2 linked regions of the Rattus norvegicus genome follow. The protein of the gene in region 1 interacts with the protein of each later gene in a biochemical or structural test. Links are inferred from orthologs where the notes say so. Each region holds a gene or a part of one and is shown on either strand. Other genes may lie near its edges.

Region 1 (3,812 bases):
TGGCTGCATAGCCCTTGCCCTCTGGCAATGCCATGCTCAGGAAACATGCATGTGTGCAAGGACCACTTGTTCTTTCGTTCCTCTGTGAACTCTGTGGTTAGGTGGTCACCTTCTGAGGATGCCCTTTCCAAAAGCTGAGGTCTTATTGAGATCTTAGGAGGTTAAAACTTATCTTCCTGCATGTGTCTATTGCCATCTGCTTCTTGTTCTAGACAATTCCACTGTTGAGACAATGGTGTTGTAGGCTCTGACCTCAGCTGCATTGGTCCGTGTGGAGAGAGACCCTTGGAACCCGATTGGGTCTCCTAATCTCTGACAAAATACAAGATATTTTTGTGACATCTCAGGATTTGACATTCCTCTTTACCCGTACGAGTAACTCCCTCCCAACATGCATATTCGACATCCGAGAGTTAGTTGCATAGAAACCAGGAAAGGAATCTGAGTGGGAACTGAAATAGAAATCTATAAATTCCACCAAGCTCGGTTTTCACTCTTAAAAGACAAACCAGCTGCCAAAAACATAAGCCAAAAGGTCTTTTTAAATGAATAGCACGGGAGGTAGGCTCTATTCCTAATTACTCTCGTTTTCATGAGCAGAACCGGGGTGGAAGGAGAGGCCGTGTGGGAAAGGGTTGCAGAAAGGGTTCCTTTCAAGAACGTGGAGAAGGGTGCACTGTGCAATCCGAGGGCACGGCTCGAGTAAAAGGCTGTTCTCTCCTCGCTTTCTGGGTGCTGTGGGTTATAAAACACCGGTAGAGTATTTGCCTGGCATTCATGGGAATAACTATTTATCCACTGTTCCAAGGAGCGCTACTGCCCACAGTTGTTGACGAGAGGCAGTGGCTGATGTCCGGGGCTCCTTGAGAAGTTACTTCACATTAATATGAACTGGTTACGAGTTGTCACGTTTTTTTTTTTTCCTCCTTCAGCAGCAAACTCCAGGCCACAGGAAGAACCCATCAAATCAAAGTAGCTTAGAATCTGACTCCAATTACCCCTCCATTTCCACCTCAGAAATCGGAGACACCGAGGATGCCCTACAGCAGGTGGAGGTAAGTCTGGGACAACTGTTTGCAGTTGTCCTGTTGAGGACACTTAATTGCCTGCATGGAACCACCCAAGAGAGATATGAGATATACTGCTCTGTTGGTGGTGCCTCAGAGGGCCCAGGGCACGGACGTTGAGAACAGGATCACTGGGTTGCAGCGAATTTACTGATATATGGCGTCACATCCGTGTGCATGCCGTTTCCATGTAGATATGGGCACGGTCATCCTCACGGCTCTGCGGCTCACAGGCAGTGAGACTGACCCTGAGTTGTGCTCATTACATGAGGTGGGACATCACCATGCTTCCGACATGCAAAAACAGACTGATGTGCACTCAGACGCATTGCCTACCGACAGGCAAGCACATGCTTGTCTACATACTTAGCCACATAGTAAAATCCAGACCCGGATCTGAAAGGATAGGAATGCACTGGGAGATCAATGTATCAAGATCTGTTGGAGCAGCGCGCTCCACGGCAGGGCAAGTATTGCTTGTTTCAAGTTACGATCGGGTACTCGTTGGCATCACGACAGTGACCGGAGGTCACAGTGATCCCCCATCAGGAAGCACTGTGTCCCAAGATTTAGTTTCCCTCTTGTAATGCCATTTTCCAGAAGTGAATTCCCTTTTACCTTCCAAAGAAAATGCCTGTGCCTGTTTTCAGTTGTTCCTTAGAGTATGCGATTGGTCACTTAAGTGGCTCTCACAGGAGGAATGTGAACGGCTGAGACACAGATGTTATTGAAGAGAATAAGCCAGCAGCACCAGCTTTCTGATGGGAAATACTAGTGGTTTGACACTGGCTTTGTGTTGGAGGCAAGGATTGGTACTGGGGAGGAGCAAGGAGACAGATGACTGATACAGGGGTGGGCAGCCAGGCATTGTTCCCAGGAGCATTTGTGCTGTGAAAACTACCTTCTGGATACCCCTCTCCGTTTGCAGGAGATTGGTATAGAGAAGGCAGCCATGGACATGACTGTCTTCTTGAAGCTGCAGAAGAGAGTGCGGGAACTTGAGCAGGAGAGGAAGAAGCTGCAGGTGCAGCTAGAAAAGGAACAACAGGACAGCAAGAAAGTGCAGGTGCGTAGCCGCTCTGTTGTGAGCCCATGGGGTCTCAGTGGTGTTGGGCTTCAGAGCTTCCTCTTGTGGGAACCAAATTGATCACTCTCTGTGAATGTCTCACCCCACTGCCTCTGAGCTGGGTGTGCTCCCTGAGTATCCCAGGGCAAAGGATTTCCACTGGGAAGCAGTAGGGAGTCTGGGAGCTCATGCCTGGAGGACTGGCATCAGGTGCAGAGAAAATAAAACAGCAGAAGTCAGAATCAGCAGAGAAAGTCTACCACCCTCTCGTGCCTGGAATCTAACACAAGCTCAGCCACCTGGCTGAGAGCCAGAGGAGACCCTTCTCACCTACGGCTGTGCCTTTGTGTCACCACAACTGATGACATCCCTATCCTCTTGCATCTTGAAAGGATACTGTGTGAAACTTTACATCTAAAAGTAATTTATTTGTCTCAAGGACTTTTGGGGAACCTAAGCTATAAACACAGAACTATGCCAGTATCAGGCTCGAAGCAAATACACAACGTGGGCGTGCAAAAGAGAAAACAGAGCCAGCAAGATGCCTCTCAGGATCATGAAGACCCTCGCTGTCAAGCCTGCTGGCCTGAGTTAGATCCAAGGGACACACATGATGGGAGGAGAGAACTGATGCCTGCAAGAAGCTGTCCTCTGGTTTTCACAGATACCATGGCATAGGCAAGCCATGACAGACACACATATGCCTGTGTGTGCGCACACACACACACACATACACACACACACAGACACACACACACAGTCGCTATGCATAGTTTCTTTTTTTAAGACCGGTAAAAATGCAGGAGACAAACTTAGCCATTGGGGAATTTAAATCAGGTTTGGGAGTAGGAAATGTAGCTCAGGTGTAAAATAAAAAAAGAAGGTTGTAGTGTGACTGGGAATGCCGTTGATTACAAACCTATCAGTACTGCCACAGCAGAGAGCTGTCAGAGATAAGAACCCCTTTTTCTCACCGTGAAGTTGTGAGGAGAACTTCTCGTGGGATTTAAGTCCAGCTCTGCGCCATACCACTAGCAAAATCTATTCTCATGCCTAAACTGAAAATTGTGGGATTTGACTCTCCTCGTCTTCCTCCCCCTCCCTCTCCCCCTCCCTCCCTCTCCTCCTCCCCCTCCCCCTCCATCCTTGACCCCCATCCTGGACCCAGACTCTTTTTTCATAACACCTTTCTTTCCTTTCCATTCTGACGTGGTATAATATGTATACAAGTACACTATTACTTCACACACACCAGAAAAGGGCAACAGGGGCACCTCTGAAAGAGCGAGTCAGTGCTCTTAACTGCTGAGCCCTCATTTTGTTTGGTTTTTAAGATTCATTTTTATTGGGCTGGAGAGGTGGCTCAGTAGTTAAGAGCACTGACTCTTCTTCCAGAGGTCCTGAGTTCAAATCCCAGCAACCACATGGTGGCTCACAACCATCTGTAATGGGATCTGATGCCCTCTTCTAGTGTGTCTGAAGACAGTGACAGTGTACTTATATACATAAAATAAATAAATCTTTAAAAAAAGATTCATTTTTACTTTCTCTGTATGGCCATTCTGACTGAATACACTCTGGGGTGGCTCGCCGTCAGAGTCTTGGCGGGGTGTCGTTTGTTCCGTTTTCGCCTTGTTTAATAAGCGTTAAGTGAAGAGGTAAATCTTGGCGGTGGTGTT
Region 2 (4,544 bases), on another chromosome or scaffold:
TTTTCCCATTCTATTATTAAACACTGTGTTATTTCCTTAAATCTCATGCCAGAACCAACCCAGACATCTATTAAAGAAGGCAAATGCAAAAGTTCTCTTTCTCCTCAAAGGATTTGGCTTGGGGCCTCCCCACCCCCTCTCCTTTAAAAAGAAATAATAAAATAATACACACACACACACACACACACACACACACACACACACACACACACATATATATATATATATATATTCAGAGTAGAAAAATAGGTTAAAATAATAGTTTTAAGCACAATACTTTTCGCCTCTCATGACACAACTGGAAGACAAGATGTAAACACTTGTCGTTTTCACTGTCGGAAAGTACAAAGTGTCACACCCAGCAGTTTCGTGGGACATCTCAATCAGCTGGTAGCCTTCATCACTCATTCTACTTTTCCAAAAGGCACTTGGGAATATGCTGACAAGGGCTAGCAATGTGCAGAATATTAAATACCTTTCTTTTAATACACTAGTGGCTCAAGTCTGTCTCTTACTATGCCACATGTGCAGCTGGGCTGGAAAAGGAAGCTATTAAATATATTAAAAATCTAGAAATATTACCAATAAAGATACCTCATCAAATACGCAGTTCCCATTTAGTCGCCCGCACAAAACAGTAAGGGTTTAATAACATATGAAAATCTCTTTGTATGCAGTAACATCGCAAACCCTGTTGATAGCATTTCAAAGCATCTCCCCTCCAAAAGCTGTCCTTGATTTTATAGACAGACTACACTGTTAAAGAGTATTGTTCATGGTCTAGTTTATTGTAACTGCAAAGCTGCCAAAGACGGAAATAAAACAAGAAATTTTTAAAAGGCTACTTCTTTCTCAGGATCTTTGGATCTACACTTGGGCCTACTTAAATTTGGGAATTTACGTTCGAGGGGTCTGTGGTATATTACCATTAATATTAAAAGTACTTTTTAAAGCACAGTAAGAAATTTGAAACTGTACATGCTTGAAAGCTCACAGTCAAAACACTTTAAAGGTATACACTGAGTCACTTCAAAGTGACAATTTGGGGCAAATTATTTGGTTACTATTGATTTTTCATTTTAACGCTGATGAAGAACTCCTCGGAAGAAAGAACATGCTATTTGTTAAATATTAGGAAATTTAAAAATCATTAAATATACAACTTAAACTTTCTCCCCCCTCAACTGAATATTTACCTATTTTTTTCTTGTTGCATTTCTAGTGTTTTATCTTACATAAACTAAATCTTAGGTAAAGACTTTATTCAAAACAAAACAAAAATAATTCCTATTAAATGAAGTTTTCTGGCAGGCTTTAAAAGGGAAAAAAGAGAAAAGATCATTATACTTAAAAGAAATTAATGTGAACTTAAAATTATCATGGAAAGTGCTCTAAAGGGTAGGTAGATAAACATCCATCAGGACTGCGTTTTGCTTTTTTTTTTTTTTTTTTTTTTTTAAGCTACTTGGGAAGAGGGACACCCTCTGATGAGTTCCCCCAACCCTCTTTTCATAAACTCCAGCCATCTCCAGGAGCCTTCAGGCCCACTATAAGCTATGTATGTAAGGTGAAGCCTGGACAGGCATGTAAGCTAAAGGGCAGGACAGGAGGTCTGCCTTTCCAAACTTGCTACTTGTTTCAACTTAGGACATAATATCCTAGTGTTGGTTTGCATCCTGATTTCTTAAATTAAGTATATCTAACTTGGGCTTGAAAGTTCTATTTCAAAAGCCATGTTTTCATCAAAGAAGTCATTAAATCACTGCATCACAAGACTGTAATCACTGTCTCCAATCTTACACCAGTTAATTCCGTCTAAACACAACAGCTTTGCTGAACTGATTCTTCAGTAAACAATAGCTCCACTATGCTGCAAATTCAAAGGAAAAATGTCAGTGGGTTCAAGACTGAAGATGTCTGTGCAGACTTCCAAAACTTTTCTTTTAACAACTTTCTCCCTATCAAGAAGTACTGACCCTGAAAACTGGTGGAGCAAAAATAAAGGCCAACTGTTTCCAATGCTGAAATACGGTTCTAAAATTAGAAACTTATCTTTTGACAGCCTTTATTAGTAATTTACCTTTTAACAGTGCTCAACAAACATAAACCTAATGGTACACATATATTTAATTTTCTGGTTTTCCAGTTCATGCTCTAGGCCTCTAATAAAAAGTATTAAAATCCAATGCAAAATATTCCACTGTTTAAGAGCCCTTTACCTCACACAGAAATGGGGCGGGGGGGGGGGGGGGGGGGACTGGTTCACTAATCACTCCATTAAAAAAAAATTCAGAGCAAAGGCTATTTTCACTTCAAAGTCATGCAAAGAGAAGTGCTTAAAACTGGATCCTATTTCAACCCCAAAGACCAATGCCTCGAATATACTGTTCAAGTACAGTAAATCCATGTATCTTTAAGTACCCAAAATTCAAAATAAATTATGTAACTTACTCTGTTTTCCTTCTTTGTTTGTCCTCAAAGATGTCATTGAGATTGATTGCCACCTGCCCTAAAAACTTATCCAGTCCCACCAGGGACCTGTGCATCACTATAAGAAAAAGAATGTATTTCTCCGGATTACCCTGCATGAGCAACCCAGGCAGCTCAAAAGAGGCCTCCTCCTTCCAGACCGGCTCCAGGGTTTTCTCCGCTACAGATGTAGAATACTTCTCTTTGCCCAACTGAATTATGGTGTATGTGTCATTGGTGCCACTTTTGCCTTTTGGCTTCAGATCTTTAGCTTGGAGCACTGTGACCTGCACGTGGGTTGGAAACCACTTTTGGGCTTGCTCAGACAGCATCATTCTGGGGCTTTTTTTGTTTTGTTTTGTTTTTCGGTTTTGTTTTTTCTTTTTGTTTTTGTTTTTCTCTGAGCAGAGTTCAGAAGCACAGGCAGCGCCCCTCCCGCGGGGAGAGCCCCGTACACTGATCACTGCATCCTTAAGGGCACTTCAGCGAGCTGGGGAGTCAGGGCTGCCCCGAGGTCCCTAAGGGCTGATGTCAAGAGGACCGGCCCGGTGGCCGCCGCCGCTGCGGGGGTCCCTTTCTTCCGTAGAAGCACAGGGGCCCACATCACCTCCGCGCCGTCCGGGCCTCCGCGCGCAGCCCCGCGCCTCGCGTCGCCGCCGTGCCGGGGCCTGTGCCCCTACGGCCCGGCCTCAGCCCCGCGCGGCCCGGCTCCTCCTCCGACCCGGCTGATACGAACCGTCGGCAGCCGCCGGGCCTGGCTCCCACCGCCCGCGCGGCCTCGCCTCGCCTCGGCTCCTCCCCCGAGAGTGGCGCAGGCCTGGGAAAGCGGGTCGGAAGCGGCCGTCCTGGACCGACGCCGGAGGGACGCGGGGCGCGGGCGGCAAACTGAGACCGGCGGCGGCACCAGGCGAGGCCTGGACAGCGACCCGCGGCTCCTAGCGCCGGGCGCGCGGCGGCCGCGCCACTTCCGGGTTGGCCGTCTCCATGTTGAGCGGGACTGCGCGAGGGGCGGGGCCGGGCGGGGTTGGGGGTCAGCGCCTCCCTGGTTGCCGTGACGACGGGGCGCGCGGTGCGGCACGCGGAGGCTGGGGTGCGCGCGCTGGACGGTGGGTGCTGAGGTTCCAGCCTGTCGGTTACTGCGCTCTGAGGACGTGAGAACCCGCGGAGGCCGACAGGGGGTTCTGGGAGGTGGCCCTGGGCCCTGAACACAACGCCCGCACTTGGGGGAGAATCGGTTTCCATCTTGGAAGACAGGAATCTGCCCCAGCTGTGTGTTCAGTCCTGACTAGGCGCTGGTGTCCTTAAATGGTGGTAGAGCACTTAGCTCTTCTTGAGAGGCAATTCTTCCTCCATTCTCCATGTCTTGAAGAGGAAACCTTCAACTGACTAAAGGGACCTCCTCCTGAGCACAGACCAAAAGCGAAGGACTCAGATTTCAAATCTACCCTTGCTTAATAAAGATCCTAGACGCTTTGGGATGGCGTCAGAGACCTGGTTCTGACCCCGTGCCTGCCGCCATAATTCTATGGAACTATTTAGTCATCTTTCCCTTCCTAATTTGTGTGTATGGCGTCCAAGTCAAAAGCGTTCCCTGAGTGCTGTCAAGTGCTCAGGAAACCAAACCACAACTTCATGGCTAGAGAGGACACGAGCTCTATGTCTCCCTTTTCCCGCTCTACTTTATTTCCATCCATGTCTTCCTAGAAAAATTCTTAAGTTCTTTGAACTACCTGCCAGTATATCCAACCTGTGGCCAACAATAGCTATGAGTGGGGCCAAATGTAATTATTATGAGAGTATTTAACTGCATTGTGCTTTTCTTCAGGGAGAACTTTGTAGACAGATGACAGCTCTTGAAGCAATGTCCAAAGATTAGACATCCCTGAAGGACTTCAGGGATACTAGGCATTAAGCAGACATGCTAACCAATCTGTTGACTAAATGCTTTTCTCCCTTTATGGGACTAATTTTGAGAATAAATATGATAGATAGGAATGTGCTTTATCCAACTTAAAGCAGCCATAAACTATAAGGTATTGTGTTTATTGTTTTAGAGCAAGTTTTAAAACTTCTGT

Evidence for each region.
Region 2: the proteins of Myo5b (region 1) and Rab11fip2 form a complex in vitro, tested with the Homo sapiens proteins (2 studies listed by BioGRID). The link is inferred for Rattus norvegicus from reciprocal best matches to the Homo sapiens genes MYO5B and RAB11FIP2.

What each region holds. Positions count from the first base shown.
Region 1 is NC_086036.1:70,572,418-70,576,229, forward strand, and holds part of Myo5b (unconventional myosin-Vb), read left to right. Parts: intron 1-932; coding exon 933-1,055; intron 1,056-1,995; coding exon 1,996-2,133; intron 2,134-3,812. UniProt on the Homo sapiens protein: May be involved in vesicular trafficking via its association with the CART complex. The CART complex is necessary for efficient transferrin receptor recycling but not for EGFR degradation.
Region 2 is NC_086019.1:269,076,854-269,081,397, forward strand, and holds the start of Rab11fip2 (rab11 family-interacting protein 2), read right to left. Parts: upstream 2,809-4,544; 5' UTR 2,805-2,808; coding exon 2,452-2,804; intron 1-2,451. UniProt on the Homo sapiens protein: A Rab11 effector binding preferentially phosphatidylinositol 3,4,5-trisphosphate (PtdInsP3) and phosphatidic acid (PA) and acting in the regulation of the transport of vesicles from the endosomal recycling compartment (ERC) to the plasma membrane.